Macaca fascicularis: one gene and its partners. The protein of the gene in region 1 purifies or fractionates together with the protein of each later gene. This does not show direct contact. Links are inferred from orthologs where the notes say so. Each region holds a gene or a part of one and is shown in the gene's direction. Other genes may lie near its edges.

Evidence for each region.
Region 2: the proteins of CSNK1A1 (region 1) and ZNF618 purify together in Homo sapiens (affinity purification with mass spectrometry; 3 studies listed by BioGRID and IntAct, counting the BioPlex papers as one, with this or other methods). This does not show direct contact. The link is inferred for Macaca fascicularis from reciprocal best matches to the Homo sapiens genes CSNK1A1 and ZNF618.
Region 3: the proteins of CSNK1A1 (region 1) and UNC45A purify together in Homo sapiens (affinity purification with mass spectrometry; 4 studies listed by BioGRID and IntAct, with this or other methods). This does not show direct contact. The link is inferred for Macaca fascicularis from reciprocal best matches to the Homo sapiens genes CSNK1A1 and UNC45A.
Region 4: the proteins of CSNK1A1 (region 1) and SEC13 purify together in Homo sapiens (affinity purification with mass spectrometry; 4 studies listed by BioGRID and IntAct, with this or other methods). This does not show direct contact. The link is inferred for Macaca fascicularis from reciprocal best matches to the Homo sapiens genes CSNK1A1 and SEC13.

The regions. Positions count from the first base shown.
Region 1 is NC_088380.1:156,431,312-156,435,464, reverse strand, and holds the start of CSNK1A1 (casein kinase I), read left to right. Parts: upstream 1-1,348; 5' UTR 1,349-1,820; coding exon 1,821-1,943; intron 1,944-2,614; coding exon 2,615-2,721; intron 2,722-4,153.
Region 2 is NC_088389.1:44,232,702-44,236,693, reverse strand, and holds the start of ZNF618 (zinc finger protein 618), read left to right. Parts: upstream 1-1,186; 5' UTR 1,187-1,294; coding exon 1,295-1,327; intron 1,328-3,992. UniProt on the Homo sapiens protein: Regulates UHRF2 function as a specific 5-hydroxymethylcytosine (5hmC) reader by regulating its chromatin localization.
Region 3 is NC_088381.1:75,486,989-75,490,936, forward strand, and holds the start of UNC45A (protein unc-45 homolog A), read left to right. Parts: upstream 1-1,142; 5' UTR 1,143-1,182; coding exon 1,183-1,233; intron 1,234-1,389; coding exon 1,390-1,551; intron 1,552-1,790; coding exon 1,791-1,827; intron 1,828-2,125; coding exon 2,126-2,301; intron 2,302-3,948.
Region 4 is NC_088376.1:148,634,698-148,638,698, reverse strand, and holds the start of SEC13 (protein SEC13 homolog), read left to right. Parts: upstream 1-1,195; 5' UTR 1,196-1,255; coding exon of another isoform or gene 1,256-1,258; exon of another isoform or gene 1,259-1,629; 5' UTR 1,630-1,683; exon of another isoform or gene 1,684-1,782; intron 1,783-2,851; 5' UTR 2,852-2,888; coding exon 2,889-3,029; exon of another isoform or gene 3,030-3,926; intron 3,927-4,001. UniProt on the Homo sapiens protein: Functions as a component of the nuclear pore complex (NPC) and the COPII coat. At the endoplasmic reticulum, SEC13 is involved in the biogenesis of COPII-coated vesicles.

The DNA.
Region 1 (4,153 bases):
ATTATTTTTTTGAGAGAGGGTCTCTCTGTTGCCCAGGCTGGAGTGCAGTAGCGTGATCTAGTCTCACCGCAACCTCCGCTTCCGAGTAGCTGGGGTTACAAGTGTACGTCATCACACCCAGCTAATTTTTGTATTTTTAGTAGATACGGGGTTTCGCCATGTTGGCCAGGCTGGTCTCGAACAACTGACCTCAAGTCATCTGCCCGCCCCGGCCTCCCAAAGTGGTGGGATTACAGGCGTGAGCCACTGCGCCCAGCCCTCATTTCTATTTTAATTAAATTTTATTTAAGATAGGCTTAGCTTAAATGTTTACGACTGAGGTCTGACTTAAGATGATAGCATAAACCATGGAGCTTTCTTTTGTGAACATTACTATTACTCAACCCAATTTTCCCAGGTCAAATTTTGTAATACAAAACGTGGTCAAGATTTGATTCTCTGATCGATTTTTAGTAAAAAAGAAAAAAATTTCCGTGTAGCTTTAAATGTTGTCAATTAAATTTTGTAATAGTTACCTCTACTCTGTTCAGGTTAATACTGCGGTTTTCAACATGACCAACATACGATTCTTTGTTGTTGTTTTGGTGGGGTTGGGGGGCATAACAGTTTTTTCACTCTTGTTAAATTAATTTTCTGTTGATTCCATCTATCCCTAATCTTCACTATGAACAAGATACTGGGTTTTCTTCTGAAGATCAAAAGTGGTAGTGAGGCAATAATGCAAAGACGTAGGACGGCAGGGGGATTCCGGCTTCTTTCTTTTTTCCCCTCCTGTGGAAAGAGGGTCTATAACACTCCGTAGTAGAGAAGAAAATTCTAATTATGAAGGGTAATTAGCTAGGTTTTGCTATAACCGAGAGCCCTGAACGATTCCTCAACGCGGGCTGCTTTTCTCTTCCTCTCCACCAGAGGCGATAGCCTCTTTCCAAACAGAAACTGGGTTGGAATAGGCCGGTCCTGGGGAGCGGCCAGAAGAAAGATCAAAGGTTAAAAACCGCCTCAAAGAGCAAAGGTCAATACCCAACTCCTAAGGAGGCCTGACACGAAACATGAAGGTGACTCCTCCCAACATCGAGGCCTGGGGCCACTCAGCCTTCCAGAGACCCTGCGGGTCCGAGGCGAGTAACAGGTAACACCGGCTGAGCCGCCGCCGACCGGAAGTGGAAGAAAGCCCGGGGCGGGGTGAGGCAGGCCGCGGCACGCCTGCGCAGTCAGCAGGAGTTGCAGCGCTCATGCGCTACTGGGCGGTGACAGGGTGACGCTCGGAGCGTGGGCCGCGACTCTCACGGATCCGGTTCCGCCCTCTAGCTGCCGATCCTTCGGAGCGAGCGCCCCAGATCCCTTTCCCAGAGTGCTCTGCGCCGTGAAGAAGCGGCTCCCGGGGACTGGGGGCATTTTGTGTTGGCTGGAGCTGGAGTAACAAGATGGCGGCGTCGGCGGAGTGACAGGGGTCCCTCAGGGCCGGAGCCGGCGGCAGTGGTGGTAGCTGTATCGCCGCCCTAGCTCACCGCGCCCCTTTTCCAGCCCGCGACGTCGCCGCGCAAGCGAGGCAGCGGCGGCCGCCGAGAAACAAGTGGCCCAGCCTGGTAACCGCGAGAAGCCCTTCACAAACTGCGGCCTGGCAAAAAGAAACCTGACTGAGCGGCGGTGATCAGGTTCCCCTCGGCTGATTCTGGGCCCCGAACGCCGGTAAAGGCCTCCGTGTTCTGTTTCCTGCCGCCTTCCTCCGTAGCCTTGCCCAGTGTAGGAGCCCCAGAGGCCTCCGTCGTCTTCCCAGAGGTGTCGGGGCTTGGCCCCAGACTCCATCTTCGTCTCTCAGGATGGCGAGTAGCAGCGGCTCTAAGGCCGAATTCATTGTCGGAGGGAAATATAAACTGGTACGGAAGATCGGGTCTGGCTCCTTCGGGGACATCTATCTGGCGATCAACATCACCAACGGCGAGGTAATCACCTGGGGTGGGGTTCACGATAACGCTGCGCTTTTCCTCATTCCCCCCACCACCACCGCGCACCCCCAAAGTGCTCGGGCCTCTCCTCACCGCACGCACTCGCCAGGGAGTCCAGGGAGCTAGTTTTCCTGGCTTGCGATCCTCGCCCGCTCTCTCCCTAAAAGGGTCAAGAACCCGATAGAAAAGGGTGGGGGAACTAGTTTCCCAGCTTGTTAAACACTTCCCATAAATGTCCCTTGGTCGAGCTGTTTTTTTTTTAACCGACTTTTAAGGTGGAAACGGCAAAATCCTCTTTCTGTGATTCCCATGCTTTGCTTTTCTTTTCTTTTATTTAATTTTTAATCCTGCTGGGCCTCTTGTTCCAATTAGAACAGTTTCCGATCGCCTAGTTCCTTAAAAACCTCTCACTACGTTCAGAGGTTGCCTCTTTTTTCTGGATGAATCATTTTCCTGCACTTTAGAGGACGTACGATTTCGTCACTACCCCCTGAAGAGGCCTTTGAGGCTGGTTGCCTCGTTTTATAATTACAGAGAGCTTTCTCTTTCCAGCTTTTCACTTCTTCCTTGTAGTCGCGACTTGGAGTTTTGCTAATGTCTCTCTCCTTTCCTAAATGACACTGAATCCGTAGGGATGTTGATGCCATCATCCCCTCTTTCCCCTGCAGGAAGTGGCAGTGAAGCTAGAATCTCAGAAGGCCAGGCATCCCCAGTTGCTGTACGAGAGCAAGCTCTATAAGATTCTTCAAGGTGGGGTTGGCATCCCCCACATACGGTAAGAACCCCGTGCATGTAGGCGATCCGCTGAGGGAAGCACGGAATGGGGAAGTGGGTAGAGGCAGGTAATGAGACCAGCTGAATCCGGGTCTTGTTTTGGTTACCTGGGTTCCTTGTAGCTGGTGCCTTCCTGTAAGTCATCGCAATCACTGAGTAAATTTCAATTTGCCAACTTATTTCATTGTATTACACTGCTCCATTTCGCTTCCGTCATTCTCTTCCCGAGGCTTTCGTTTGCAGTTATGCGTGCGGGTCATCTTTGATCCCTACGCGGAAGGGTTGGCTGCTGCCTTTTTTACGGCGGCACGTCTGATGTTCTTAGGTTTGTCCAGTGAAGTGGATTTGAAGGTGCTGAAGCGACCCGGCGGTGTCAGTTCGAGTTGCTATTGGAGCTGGCTTGGGAAATGGCTGCTCTTTTGTTGTGTTTTTGTTCCAACATGTCTTCCTCCTCCGCTTAGAAAATGGCGGAACGACGTGACTCAACCCCATATTCCTGCCCTTTTCTCAGCTTGGGTTCACAAATTATGCTTCCTTGATTCCTCCTTTAGCAGCCCCGAGTGGATTAAACCTTTGAAAAGCCAAGAATAAAGCTGCAGGAGGCGGTGTGGGGGTTCGAGGAAGGAGATGGCATAGTGACAATGTTTGTGATCTCTGCAGCAGATGTGACATGAAATTGTTGAATTATACTATGTAAAATCCTTTGTGGTTCTTTTAAAAGTGTTAATTACTCTTTCCTTTCGTGAATGGTCATATTTGGCACATTTCAGTCGGGACTAAATTTGTATAGGTAATGGCAAAGGCAGTTTGAGCAGCACCAACTATGTTAAAATTTACTCAAATCAATTGTATTAAAAGAAATCTTAATCACTTAGCCACACTTTGATAAGTAATTTTAACCTGTTGAGTTTGGCAGTAAATCTTAATATCAGAGAAATTGCGGCCTTTGTTGGTGTGGAATATTGGTGAGTGCAAATTGCAGTAACGCGGATAAAAGATGACGAGATAGAAAGACATTGTTCTGTCAAATGGTTAACTTTACTTTGGAGGGTTTTAGAGTAATGTTTTAACTTTTGGGATTAAAGAGCCTCTTCATGGAATGGAGACTAAAATATAGTTTAAAACCAAGCTATTTTTCAGCAACAATCTAAAATACCTTTTGCAAAAATATTCAGAATAGGTGAGAATGGTGTTTACTGTTTGCTGGAGACTCTCTTTTTTTTTTTTTGAGACTGAGTTTTCGCTCTTGTCGATCAGGCTGGAGTGCAGTGAATGGCACGATCTTGGCTCACTGCAACCTCTGCCTCCTGGGTTCAAGCGATTCTAGTGCCTCAGCCTCCTGAGTAGCTGGGATTACAGGCGCCCGCCACCACACCCAGCTAATTTTTGTATTTTAGTTTCACCATGTTGGCCAGGCTGTACTCGAACCCCTG
Region 2 (3,992 bases), on another chromosome or scaffold:
CCCCCCTTGTCTCTTTAATAGGACAGGTCCTTCACACGCTCAGTTTTTAAAAAATCTGATTTTTTAGGAGAATGGGGAAGAGAACAGAAAAAAAAAAAATCTCTTTTAAACTTTCCCAAGTCACAAGGAGGCAGTTGCTCAAGTAAAAAAACAAAAAACAACAACAACAAAAAACCTGACTCTTTTGGGGTGTTGGAAAAAAAATTCCTGGTTCACATTTTATTTCACATAGAAGTTTTTCAAATTTTCCTTTTCTAAATCAACCTGACTGGTGGATATGCGCGGGGGGGGGAGGGGGGGCCTAATACCCCTTAACCTTTAACCCCTCTTGTCTTACTGTAGGAGGAGTTTTTCAAACTTTTATTTGGAAATATATATATATATACACACATATATTTTTTCATTTGGCGAGGATAGGCAGAAACAGCCGTTTCACTGGCATTTCACATAAAAGCGGCTCCTCAAATATTTATTTTAAAAATCAGTCTGGCTAGGGGGCTAGACTCCTCTTAACCCCTCTTGTCTGACATGGGACCAGTCCTTCAAACTTTTATTTTATTACATTAGTTTTTTGGGGAGGAGTGGCAGGGCAATAGAATATTCCCGGTAAGCCTTCCAGTCTTTCAGCAAGCCAGCTCTTGAAAACTTTTATTTCAAAAATCAATCTGTTTTTTTTTTTGGGGGGGGGTACAGCAGGGTACTGAATTCCCATTAACCTCTTGCGTTCCGCCGGCTCCCCGAACTTTTTTCCAGTGTGAAAATGACATTTCCGAGGGGCTGGAGGACTGGGGGAGGGCAGGAGGGAGACGGGGGGCGGGCGCGGGGGCGCGGGGAGGGCAGGGCGCGGCGCGGGAAAGTTTGGGGGGCGGGTGCGCCACTGCCCTGGGGCTGGCGGACGGGAGGGCGGGCGCGCCCCTGGACCGGCCGGCTTTGTGTGCCGCGCGGAGGCCGGCAGCGCGGAGGCCGAGGCCGAGGCCCCGAGCTCGCGGGCCGCACGGCGAGGCCGGCCCGGGGGCGGGCAGGGCGGCGGGGGGCGGCGGCGGCCCCGCGAGGGGCGGCTCGGCGGCAGCGGCTGCCGCGGCGCGGCCGGTGCAGGCCGGCGGTGGGGGCGAGGGCCGGCGCCCCCCCCGCGCGCCCCCAGCGCCCCCGCCCCCCCGGCCTGAGCGGGGCGGGCGGAGGAGGGAGCGGCGGCGGCGGCGGCGGTGGCGGCGGCGGCGGCGGCATTGTGCGCGCACCAGCAGCCCGGCCCGGGAGGAGCAGGACGCGCCGGGGCCGCCTCCTCCCGCACGGACCCATGAACCAGCCGGGCGGCGCGGCGGCTCCGCAGGTACGACGGGGGGCCGGGGGCATGCACCGCGCGGGGGACCCCGGGGGGCCGGGGCCCGGGGCGCTGCGCCACTTCATTGCAAGATTTGCAAAATGCAAAGTGCCTGGGCACGTTTGCGAGCTTTTTGTGGGCGCAAACGGGAGAGTCGGGGTCCGGAGAGCACCCCCCCGGGCGCTGCGGGGTGCGAGGAGGTTGGGGGTGACGAGGGGGTCTTTTGGGGCCCCCACCCAGCGCCCCCTCCGGCCCCGGGCTCGGACCGGAGCCCAGAAAACAAAGCGGCGAGAGAACAGAGCAGCCATTTCAGTTTGGACAATTCACATTTTGCAAAAATGCAACCCCTTCCAGCTCTGCCCCCTCCCCCCCAAATTTGCAATTTTCCCCTGACCCTCTCTGCGCTCGGGGTCCCCGATGACCCCCCGGGAGGTGTTTCCCCCCAGATCCCCCATTTTTGCAACAATCTTTTTTTTTTTTAGGCCATATTTTCCTTTCTCAATTTTTTTTTTCTAATTTTTCTTCAAACGGTAGTTTTTTCCCATTAAAACGACGCCACCTAGAGGATACTATTTTGTAAATAAAAAAAGAAATTAAAATTGAAAAGAAATATTTTTTATTTCTTATTTTTTCAAAAGTTTGCACTACCAGGCAGTGGAGGGGTAAGAGATTCTTTTTTTTTCTTTTTTCGGGTGAAAATTTTCACTTTGATCTTTCCAGAAGCATGGAGACAATTTTTATTTCTGAAGCCAAATCCAGATAATATGTAAATGAAAATTAAGCTGGAATTTGAATGAATTCAGTTCTTGGAGGGGAGAAAGCAAAAAATCTCCTAAAAGCAAAGTCAGTTTGGGTGCCCAACTCATTTTAGTTTGAGAAAAAAACTAATTGGAATAAAGAAAGGAGGGAAATTGTTGAGTTTAGGGAAAACTGAGAGAATTGGCTTTATGAAGCAATTAGAAATTGTACTTCATTGTAATTTGGAACTTATTTAGCTCAGCGGGCAAAAAAAGACTAATTTCTCTATTTGGCAATATTTAAAGTTTTTCTATTTCCACGAAGGAAGGATTTAAAAGAGAAAATAGACCCTAAAATGTTGGCTTTGGACACACCCAAAAATTGTAGTTGTTTTTTTTTTTTAATTTTGCATTTACATTTTACTGCATTTAAATCCTAAGATTCTAAAGAAAACAGAAACGGAAAAAGTTACAGTGAAATCCTTTCTTTCTTTTTTTCTCTATTTGTTGGGTTTTGTGTGTGGGTATTTTTTTTGTTTTGTTTTGATGGAATAATTAAGACTGTTTTCTGATTTTGTTTCCTGAAAGGTCTAGGCATTTCTTTTTTGTTGTTGTTTTATCCAGAAAATGTCAGGGACCTTTTTTGAGCAATATTCAGTGGAAAAAATGTAAATTCATACATTATACAAATTGAGTAACCCACAGATTTGTAGGAGAGACCGCCATTAAAATAAGATATGCATAATTAACATTATTATGAAAAAACTAACAGTGGATTCACAGAAGCTCATTTTTTATGACATGCAACTAAATCAATTGATGAAGACAAGGATTGAGGAATCCTTGGTAAGGAAGAAAATTTTCCCTTTTCTGTCTTGTTCACTCTTCCAATTTGAAAAATTTATTACTTAAAAAAAAATTTAGATTGGTTTCAGGCCTCTTTGACTGTGATGTGAGGTTGGTAGTTTATCAATATTTGTTATTTTTCAGAAACCTGATTACTTTCAAAGGGGGAAAAAAATCCATTAGCCTTAATCATTTTGGGGAGTTTGTGACCAAAAAAAAAGCACAAATTTTACTGACTTAACAAGAAAAAGATAAAAGAGGGATGGGCAAAAAGGAGATGAAAATTCTAATTCTTATCTATCTTCCTTGGTAGAACACTTACTTTGCTGAAGAAATGTGATAAAACACCAACTCAGCTGATTTTAGCAGCAACAAAATAAAGGAAAAATAATCAAAATACAAACAAAAGCCAAACCCAAGGTTTGCCTTTGGAATATGAAAGCATATATGCAAACAATATTTCATGAGGAGGTTTTGGCCTTAAAATGAATCAAATGAAGGTGAAACAAAAAAAAAAAAATTTAAGAAGGCAAATAAATATTGACTGAATTGAAATTTGACAGATGAAAATAAAGTACCCACCCAACGATGAAGGGTTTTGTGATAAATTAGTATCTGATTGAACTTGCTGGGGATTTTGAGCCTACCCCCCAAAAGTTATAATGTTTCTGTCCAAAAAGAGCATATTGTTAGGACTTGCAGGGTGGGATCTTGGAGGGACCTTGGCTTGGAAATTGGTGATGGGTCACCTGGGGCAAGAAAGGAAACCGTTTGCCCCTTTTGCCAGCCACTAGCTGGTCTTGGAAAAACTGGTGGCCCCAGTCCATAGATTCCCAACCCGATTTTGTGGAAATTTGGATGTTTAAGTGGAATAAGTCAAATATATTATCTCTGTGAAATATATTTGACAATGGCAGAGGTTTGACATTTCCCATCATCGCCATTGCATTTGGGAGATTTTATTTTTTTAGTAACGAAATCCTTCAGGGCTGACTGGTCACATTCTGACATATTTGGAATGAGCTTTTTTTTTTTTTTTTTTTTTTTTTTTTTTAGGCAGCATAATTAAAAAAATTTTTTTTCTGTTGAAT
Region 3 (3,948 bases), on another chromosome or scaffold:
CAGGTACAGCACTTACCCCTGTGGCCCACCTGCCTATCGTGCTATGGGCTATTCCTGGGAACTGGAACTGATGGGGATGAATGGAAGGGCGCCTGCTCTTCCGGTAGGGGCTGATCTCTTTTACTCTCCAGTAGGGGTGGAGTGGGCTGTGGAAAGATCCCTCCTGCTTATTTCTAGCCCCCCAACCTCTCTCTTCAGCTGTGGTCCACCACCCTCACTTGTGCCAGACCACCCGGGATGTCAATGGCCACCACTACCCTGGTTTCTTTTGCCCTCGTCTCTCTGATTCTCCAGAGGAAGCCTACTGCTGCCACCTGCAGGCTGCAGGGGGCTCCTGCTGCACCCGGGCTGAATTTGAGGCCCTGTACCAAGTCAACCTGTCCGCTCTTCCGCCCCCGCCCATCCTCAGGTGAGATCTCCAACCCCGGAGCCACTGGAACATCGTCAGGGTGTTCCAATATCTGGGGCTCTGTTCCTAAATTATGGGGTGGGAGGCTTGTAACTTACAGACTAGTGAAGGGACAGACCGCAACAGAAAATCATGTAGATCATGATTACAATTACAAGGGAGAAGTTCAGGGGGCTGTGCAAGCGGGTAATAGGGAGCCATACTGAATCTGCCCATGGGTGGCTCTAGGATGAGCTCCTAAATTCGTATGCAAATGTGTGTATGTAAGACTACACTTATTTGGGGATGGAGTCCCGAGCTTTCTCCGGACTCCCAGGGGTTCTGTACTCCCACAGAGCGCAGCAGCCAGAGCGCGGCCAGGGCCGGGATCCAGATACTTTTTTCTCTCCCGCAGGGGCCCAGGACAACTCCTAGTGCTGGGCCTCTACAGCCTACTGGTTGTGACCCTGATGACCGCAGACCTTGTGCACTTCTGCTGCGATCGGGGCCGGGGTCGGGGCTGGAGCCACCGCAGGCCTCCCTCCGGGTCCTCCGCCGTGAACTCCTGCAGGTCTCCGCGGGGACAGCTTAGGCGCGCCCGGAGCTTGCCTGCACCTGCGATCCAGAGTCGAGTGCCCCGCCCCTGCCCGGGCGCGCTAACTCTTTAGCCCTGCCCCTCTCTGACTCCACCTCCGACGCAAGAGTGGGGCGGGGCAGCTCCCGGCAGCGTCCGGAGCCAGACTCGTCCCGCCCCAGAGACTGCGCCTGCGCGGGCACGGGACAACCTCTCCGCGATGACTGTGAGTGGTCCAGGGACCCCCGAGCCCCGGCCGGCCACCTCCGGGGTGCGTACCCAATCCCCGCGCCATCACCCCTTCGCACCCGCCCTGACCATCCCAGGCCTCCTTCTCCCCATCCATGAGGCTCGTGCCTATCCCTCCTCTTCTCCAGGGCTCTGCCCCGAACCCCCTCCGACGTTTCCGCCCCCTTTCTCTCTACAGGCCAGCTCAGTGGAGCAGCTGCGGAAAGAGGGCAACGAGCTGTTCAAATGTGGAGACTACGAGGGCGCCCTGGGGGCCTACACTCAGGCCCTGGGTCTGGACGCGACGCCCCAGGACCAGGCCATTCTGCACCGGAACCGGGCCGCCTGCCACCTCAAGCTGGTGAGGGAGCCTGGCGCTCTTCCCCTTGCCTGCCGGGCCCCGGTTCGCCCATCTCAGCTGATGCTTGGGCCCCAGCTGGGAATTCAAGCTCCCAGGCCATCCCCGCTTGCCAGATGTCTTTTGCACCTCAGCGTGAAGGGGGATCGGGTGACCTTGGACAGCGAGAGTACCCCTGCTGCCTGGTTAGTGCCCCGAAAGGGAGATGACCATTCTTTCAGGCTGCTGTCTTTCTCTTACAGGAAGATTACGACAAAGCAGAAACAGAGGCATCCAAAGGTAGGGGAATGGTGGACCCTCGTGTGGAGCTGTAGGGCTTCTGTGGTGGGCAAGGACTCTGGGACCGCTGCACCATCACATTCTCCTCCTTTGGCCCCAGAGACACATCTGCCTTCTTTCTTTCCCACTGCCTCGGGCCTTTCCTTTTCTGCAGCTACCCTCACCTTTTCTGAGGCTGAAGCACCGAGCCCCACATTCGTCCCCCTACCTTCTGGCCTTTCCTCGAGATCTTTCCCTACTGCTCTTGCCTGGAGATGGTGGCCTCATGGGTGCTGACAGCGCTCCTGTTTGTGCTCAGCCATTGAAAAGGATGGTGGGGATGTCAAAGCACTCTACCGGCGGAGCCAAGCCCTAGAGAAGCTGGGCCGCCTCGACCAGGCTGTCCTTGACCTGCAGAGATGTGTGAGTTTGGAGCCCAAGAACAAAGTTTTCCAGGAGGCCTTGCGGAACATCGGGGGCCAGATTCAGGAGAAGGTATGTGAGTGACCCAGAGAGGTGGAAGCTTGACTGGTGGTGGTGAAGGGATCTGGGCCAGGGGTGCAGACACAGTTCTCCAGACAAGAGATACTGATGGCAAGTGAACATATAGAATTCTGGTTAACCTTGCCTGTGGCCAGGGAAAAGCAAATTAAGATGACAGCGTGTTACTGTTGATTTGGAGGTCTGTTTGGCAGACATTTAAAAGTTTGTATACTTTTCAAGAAGGAGAGAGGCAGACACATCAGTGGTGAGGCTGGTACAGCTCTTTTGGAGAGTACTTTAGCATATCAAATTTGAAATGAGCGTATCTTTTGATCCCATATGTTTACTTCTTGCTGTTTCTCTCACAGAAACCTTGCCCACATGCACAAGTAGACATGTGTATGTTTATTTCAGCCTTTTTTGTAGTAAAAGCTTGGAACTTGCCTCAATGCCCAGCCATAGAGGAATGGCTGAATAAATTGGGTAATGTCCTTACTAGAGACTCTTACATAGTTACTGAGAATGGGTAGATACACACATATTGAAATGGAAAGCTCTGGGACACTTGTTGAATAAACAAAGCAAAATAGGCAGGGCATGCTGTCTCATGCCTGTAATCCCAGTGCTTTGGGAGGCCAAGACGGGACGATCACTTGAGGCTAGGAGTTTGACACCAGCCTGGGCAGCATAGTGAGACCCTGTTGCTACCAAAACTTAAAAAGTTAGCTGGGTGTGTTGGCACACCCTTGTAGTCCCAGCTACTTGTGAGGCTGAGGCAGGAGAATCCTTTGAGCCCTGGATTTTGCAGTTACAGTGAGCTATGATTGTGTCACTGCACTCCAGCCTGGATGACAGAGTGAGGCCCTGTCTCTTTTGAAAAAGAAAAGAAGAAAAATATATGATAACACATATAGTATTATATCATTTATGTTAATGATCCCCTGCATAGCAAAATAATGCTATATTTTTTCTGTGGGTACACTTGGGTATATAAATACAAAGGAAAATATTTAATTTAATTTATTTATGTATTTATTTATTTATTTTTTGAAACAGAGTCTTGCTGTGTTGCCCAGGCTGGAGTGCAGTGGCGTGATCTCAGCTCACTGCAACCTCTGCCTCCCAGGTTCAAGCAATTCTCCTGCCTCAGCCCCCCAAGTAGCTGGGACTGGGACTACAGGGGCGTGCCACCACGCCCAGCTAAGTTTTTGTACTTTTAATAGAGACAAGGTTTCACTGTGTTGGCCAGGATGGTCTGGAGCCCCTGACCTCGTGATCTGCCCACCTCGGCCTCCCAAAGTGCTGGGATTACAGGTGTGAGCCACTGCACCCAGCTGAAAATATTTTATTTTTAAAATTTATTTTTATTTTTATTTTTTTGTTTATGTATTTTGAGACAGGGTCTCACTCTGTCACCCATGCTGGAGTACAACCTCTGCCTCCCAGGCTCAAGCGATCCTCCCACCTCAGCCTCCCAAGTAGCTGGGACAATGCGTGTCACCACGCTCGCCTAATTTTTATATTTTTGGTAGAGACAGGGTTTTACTGTGTTGCCCAGGTAGCTGGTCTTGAGCTCCTGGGCTCAAGGGATCTACCCACCTCAGCCTCCCAACTTGCTGGGATTATAGGTGTGAGCCATGGCACCGGGCCAAATATGCA
Region 4 (4,001 bases), on another chromosome or scaffold:
AACTGAAGGACTGTGAGTTACCCAAGGGGAGTCAAGGCCTACCCCAGCTCACCTGCCTCCTTAATATCACAAGGGCCCCAGGGTTAGACCATACGTGGCTGAGGGGGAGGGGGGCCCAGGCTCTGTCCTCCAGTGTGGCATTCTCACTGCGCTTGTGGGGAACCTTCAGCTGCCCTACCTTGGGAAGCCAGAGACCTGGGGTCAGGGATGCTAGGAATTAGGTCTAGGGCTCTAGCTGCAGGAGCCTGGCTGAGATCCTTCATTGCCTATGGGGAATCTCCCTGATGGGACTTACTCAGGACCCCGGGGGATCGGTTTGGAAGGGGCAGTCCTATATAGGGGTTAGGGATGGCAGGGTGAGAGGTCCCAGCCTCTGGTGAGGGGCATTCCCTGGCCTCCTCTGCCCTGGTCCCAGTCCTTGGGTCCTGATGGGGGGACTACAACAAGGAAGCACTAGGACAGTCTACTTACTCCCAAGACATCACTCATCCTACAACATTCATCATAAGGCCAGTCTCACCCAGAGCCGCAGAGAGGCGGTGAAGCTGTAGGTAGGTAGGTAGGTAGATAGATAGATAGATAGATAGGTAGATAGATAGATTTTTTTTTTTTTTTTAACAAGAGTCTCGCTCTGTCGCCCAGCCTGGAGTGCAACGGTGCAGTCATGGCTCACTGCAACCTCCGCCTCCCGGGTTCCAGCGATTCTCCTGCCTCAGCCTCCCGAGTAGCTGGGACTACAGGCGCGCGCCACCATGCCCGGCTAATTTTTGTATTTTTAGTAGAGACGGGATTTCACCATGTTGGTCAGGCTGGTCTCGAACTCCTGACCTTAGGTGATCCGCCCCCAGCTCGGCCTCCCAAAGTTCTAGGATTACAGGCATGAGCCACCGCGCCCGGCCGATAGTTATATTAATCCTTCCTTTCGTTTATGGATCTCAGGAAAAGGGCAGACTTGGTCGGGAGAGTAGACCCACCAGAGCTTCAGATTCCAAAGCCCCCCTGGTCAGGGTCACTGCGGCAACCAGAGCCTCAGCCCTCTGGTCTCGGCGTCACTAGAGGATAGGGGCTGGGCCTCGGGAAGGCGGGGCGCGCCCTTTGGAAGGCGCGGAACTGTTGTGAGAGCCGAGCGCGTTGCTGCCCGGAGGCTCCTACGCCACGGCCCGGCAGCTTGAGGGCCGGGCGCCGGAAGTGAGCTATTCGGAGGCGCCGCCGGGAGCTGCCACGTCCGAGACCCGGAGCAGCCACCGCCACAATCATGGTGAGTGTTGGGACTGAGGAGGCCGAGCAGGGTGAAGGCCACGGTCGCAGCCCTCACGGGTTCCTCGGCCGTGCTGAGTCCCAAATCCTAAGCTCCCCTCCACCCACCGCTTAGAGATCTGGGGAGCTCTGGCCCCGTCCTTGCGGACCATTCCGAGCGGAGTCCAGAGGTGAAGCCAAAGAACCTCCCTGACTCTGCGGGGCGCGCCGCTGCCGCGTCTCCTGCCAGCCTCCTTCCTTCTCTTCCAACAATTGAATACAAAACGAGAAACAGCAGAGGAGCTACTCTATACCGAGCCCTCAGCATTGTTCGTAATCTCAGCCTGCTAACATGCTTGTGAAGAAGGTGCCATTCTTCTCAACACTTTACAGATGAGGACACTTGAGGTTCGGAGACGTGGAGCCTCTTGCACAGCTGCTTAAGTGGTAGAGCCGAGATTTGAACCCTTCTAACCATTCCTTTCTGCCGCCTACTACATCCCCTAGCAGAGATGATTGGACAGTTGCTCGGGATAGGGCCCCCAGGTAGGATGGGCACCTCGGGAAACGTGAAGATGGCCTGAACGACCCTCCGAAGGCAGGGGCTCAGGGTTTTTTAAGTCTCTGTGGCATCTGCAGTGTACATTCACTCCACACTTACTCCTTGAGTGAATGAATGACTGAATGAGAACTAAAGAATGGAAGTATCCGGGCTGAGCCTGGCATATCTAGTACATGCATTCTTTTAGAAACATGGGTGTGCCTCAGCAGCAGGTTTGAGGGAACCTGCAGGAACCTAGAAATCAGAACACTGTGTTCTTGCTCTGCAGAGGGTTAGGTGTAAATCACTCACCTCTGGCTCTTCCACTGCAGGTTAGAGTTGAGGCTCTTATGCTCTGACATTGAGCTCATCCTAAATGAATTTTTAACTCATTATCTGATTTCAAAGAGGTGAATTATTTTGAGTACAGGTGTTAACAGGGACCAGATAACACCAGGTCCCTGGGAAGAAGTACTCTAAGAAGTTAGTTCTCTCTCTCTCCCCCCTCTCCCCCCACTACCCTCTCCCTCTCTCTCCCTCTCCCCCCTCCCCCTTCCTGCCTCCTTCCTCCCTCCTTCCCTCCTTTTCTCTCCCCCTCCTTCTTTCCTCCCCCCCCGCCTCTCTGTCTCATTCAGAAGCATGGTTCATCAACCGTGACTGGTGGGTGAGAGTGGTTAGAATTAAATGTTGATTATTTCTAAGGTCCTTTGGTAACACGGCTGAAACTACTTCTCAGTAAACTTTCTTCCTGAACCTACTTATCCTCAGCTTTACAGAACTCAGTGTAACAACTGCTTTACATTTTAGACAGGCAGCCTGGTGGAGTGAAGTTTTGTGGACTGGGAGTTAGAAGGTTAGAGAATGGGGCTCTTTTCCCAGTTCTGCCTTTACCTAGCTCTGTGACTTTGGCAAGTGCTTTCTCTTCTCTGGGCTTCTTCAGTTCCTTAGTCTGTTGTAGGTCTCTGATTGACTCTGCCCTTGGTACCCTGCCCTCCCCGCCTTCCCGTGCACTTTGTAACCTATACAGCTTGGCACATGGAGGAAACTCCTTATTGTCCTTACTTGCCTTTGCAGACTTCGGGGACCTGTTTTTTAGAGAGTCTAGAATTTGATGAGAGAACCTGTGCTTACTTGGTGTGTACCTCTTGAACTGCTTTGCAGCCATCCTCTTCCAGTGTCTGCCTTTCTGAAAACACAAGTCAAACTTTATACCTACAGGGCTTGTGCTGGAAAAGATGAAATGGGGAAAATGGTAAGAAATGTCTGTTCCACAATGAAACTTCTTTTAAGTCTTCTTTTCTGTCCCAAGAATTTAAGAGAATAGTGGTTGAGCAAAGAAAAAAAAAACACCTTTTGTTCATTTACTTATTCATTCAGCAAATAGTCACTGAGTTCCTTCTATTTGCAAAGCACTGTGCTGGATGATTTGAGGGGATTTGAAACTGCAGATGGCTCAGACTGTGGATCCAAGGAGCTCACCTTCTAGTGGGGAGAAGAAACAGCATAAAATGTTGTTTGTGGTCAGTGCTGAAGATGTGCAAGAGAGTCCAGCCATTTGAGGATCTGAGAATCAAGAAAGGTGATGGGTGGCCCTTTTTGAGCTGGACTTCAGAGAATGGAGAGGAGGGTGATGACCATGACACCATGTTCCAGCCCTACAAACTGTTCAATCCTGGATCCCACTAGGTGATGGACCAGGGAGCAGCCTCAGGAAAAACTCTAATCAAGTCTCCCAGTCTGAAGTAATGACTTTGTTAGGCATAAACTGCCTGGAACATCAGAGGCTCTGTCATCCAGGAAAGGAACACCAGCTGTAGCTCCCTTGTGGTCTCTCCTCACCCTTAAGAGTAGCCAGGACTGCTTGCCATTTCCCCACACACATCAGGCTCTCAGACCTCTTTGTCTCTCCTCATGTATTCCCTCTGCTTGGCTGCTTGGACTGGTATTTTCTCCTGTGCCACCTGCAAATTCCTACCCATCATCTAAGGCTCAATTCATGTCTACCACCCCACCCCTCAGGCTCCTATGGGACACTCAAACCACCATTACAGAATTTATCTTGCCACACTAGCATTATTCGTGAGCTTCTCAAGGGCAAAAGTTCCTCTTTGTGTATCTAGTTCCTGGCACAGTGCTTGGCAAAAAGAAGGTACTTAGAATGAATGCTTACTGAGTGAATGAATGAATGAACGAACGAATGCAGTCGTTCGTTGAGATGGTTGTA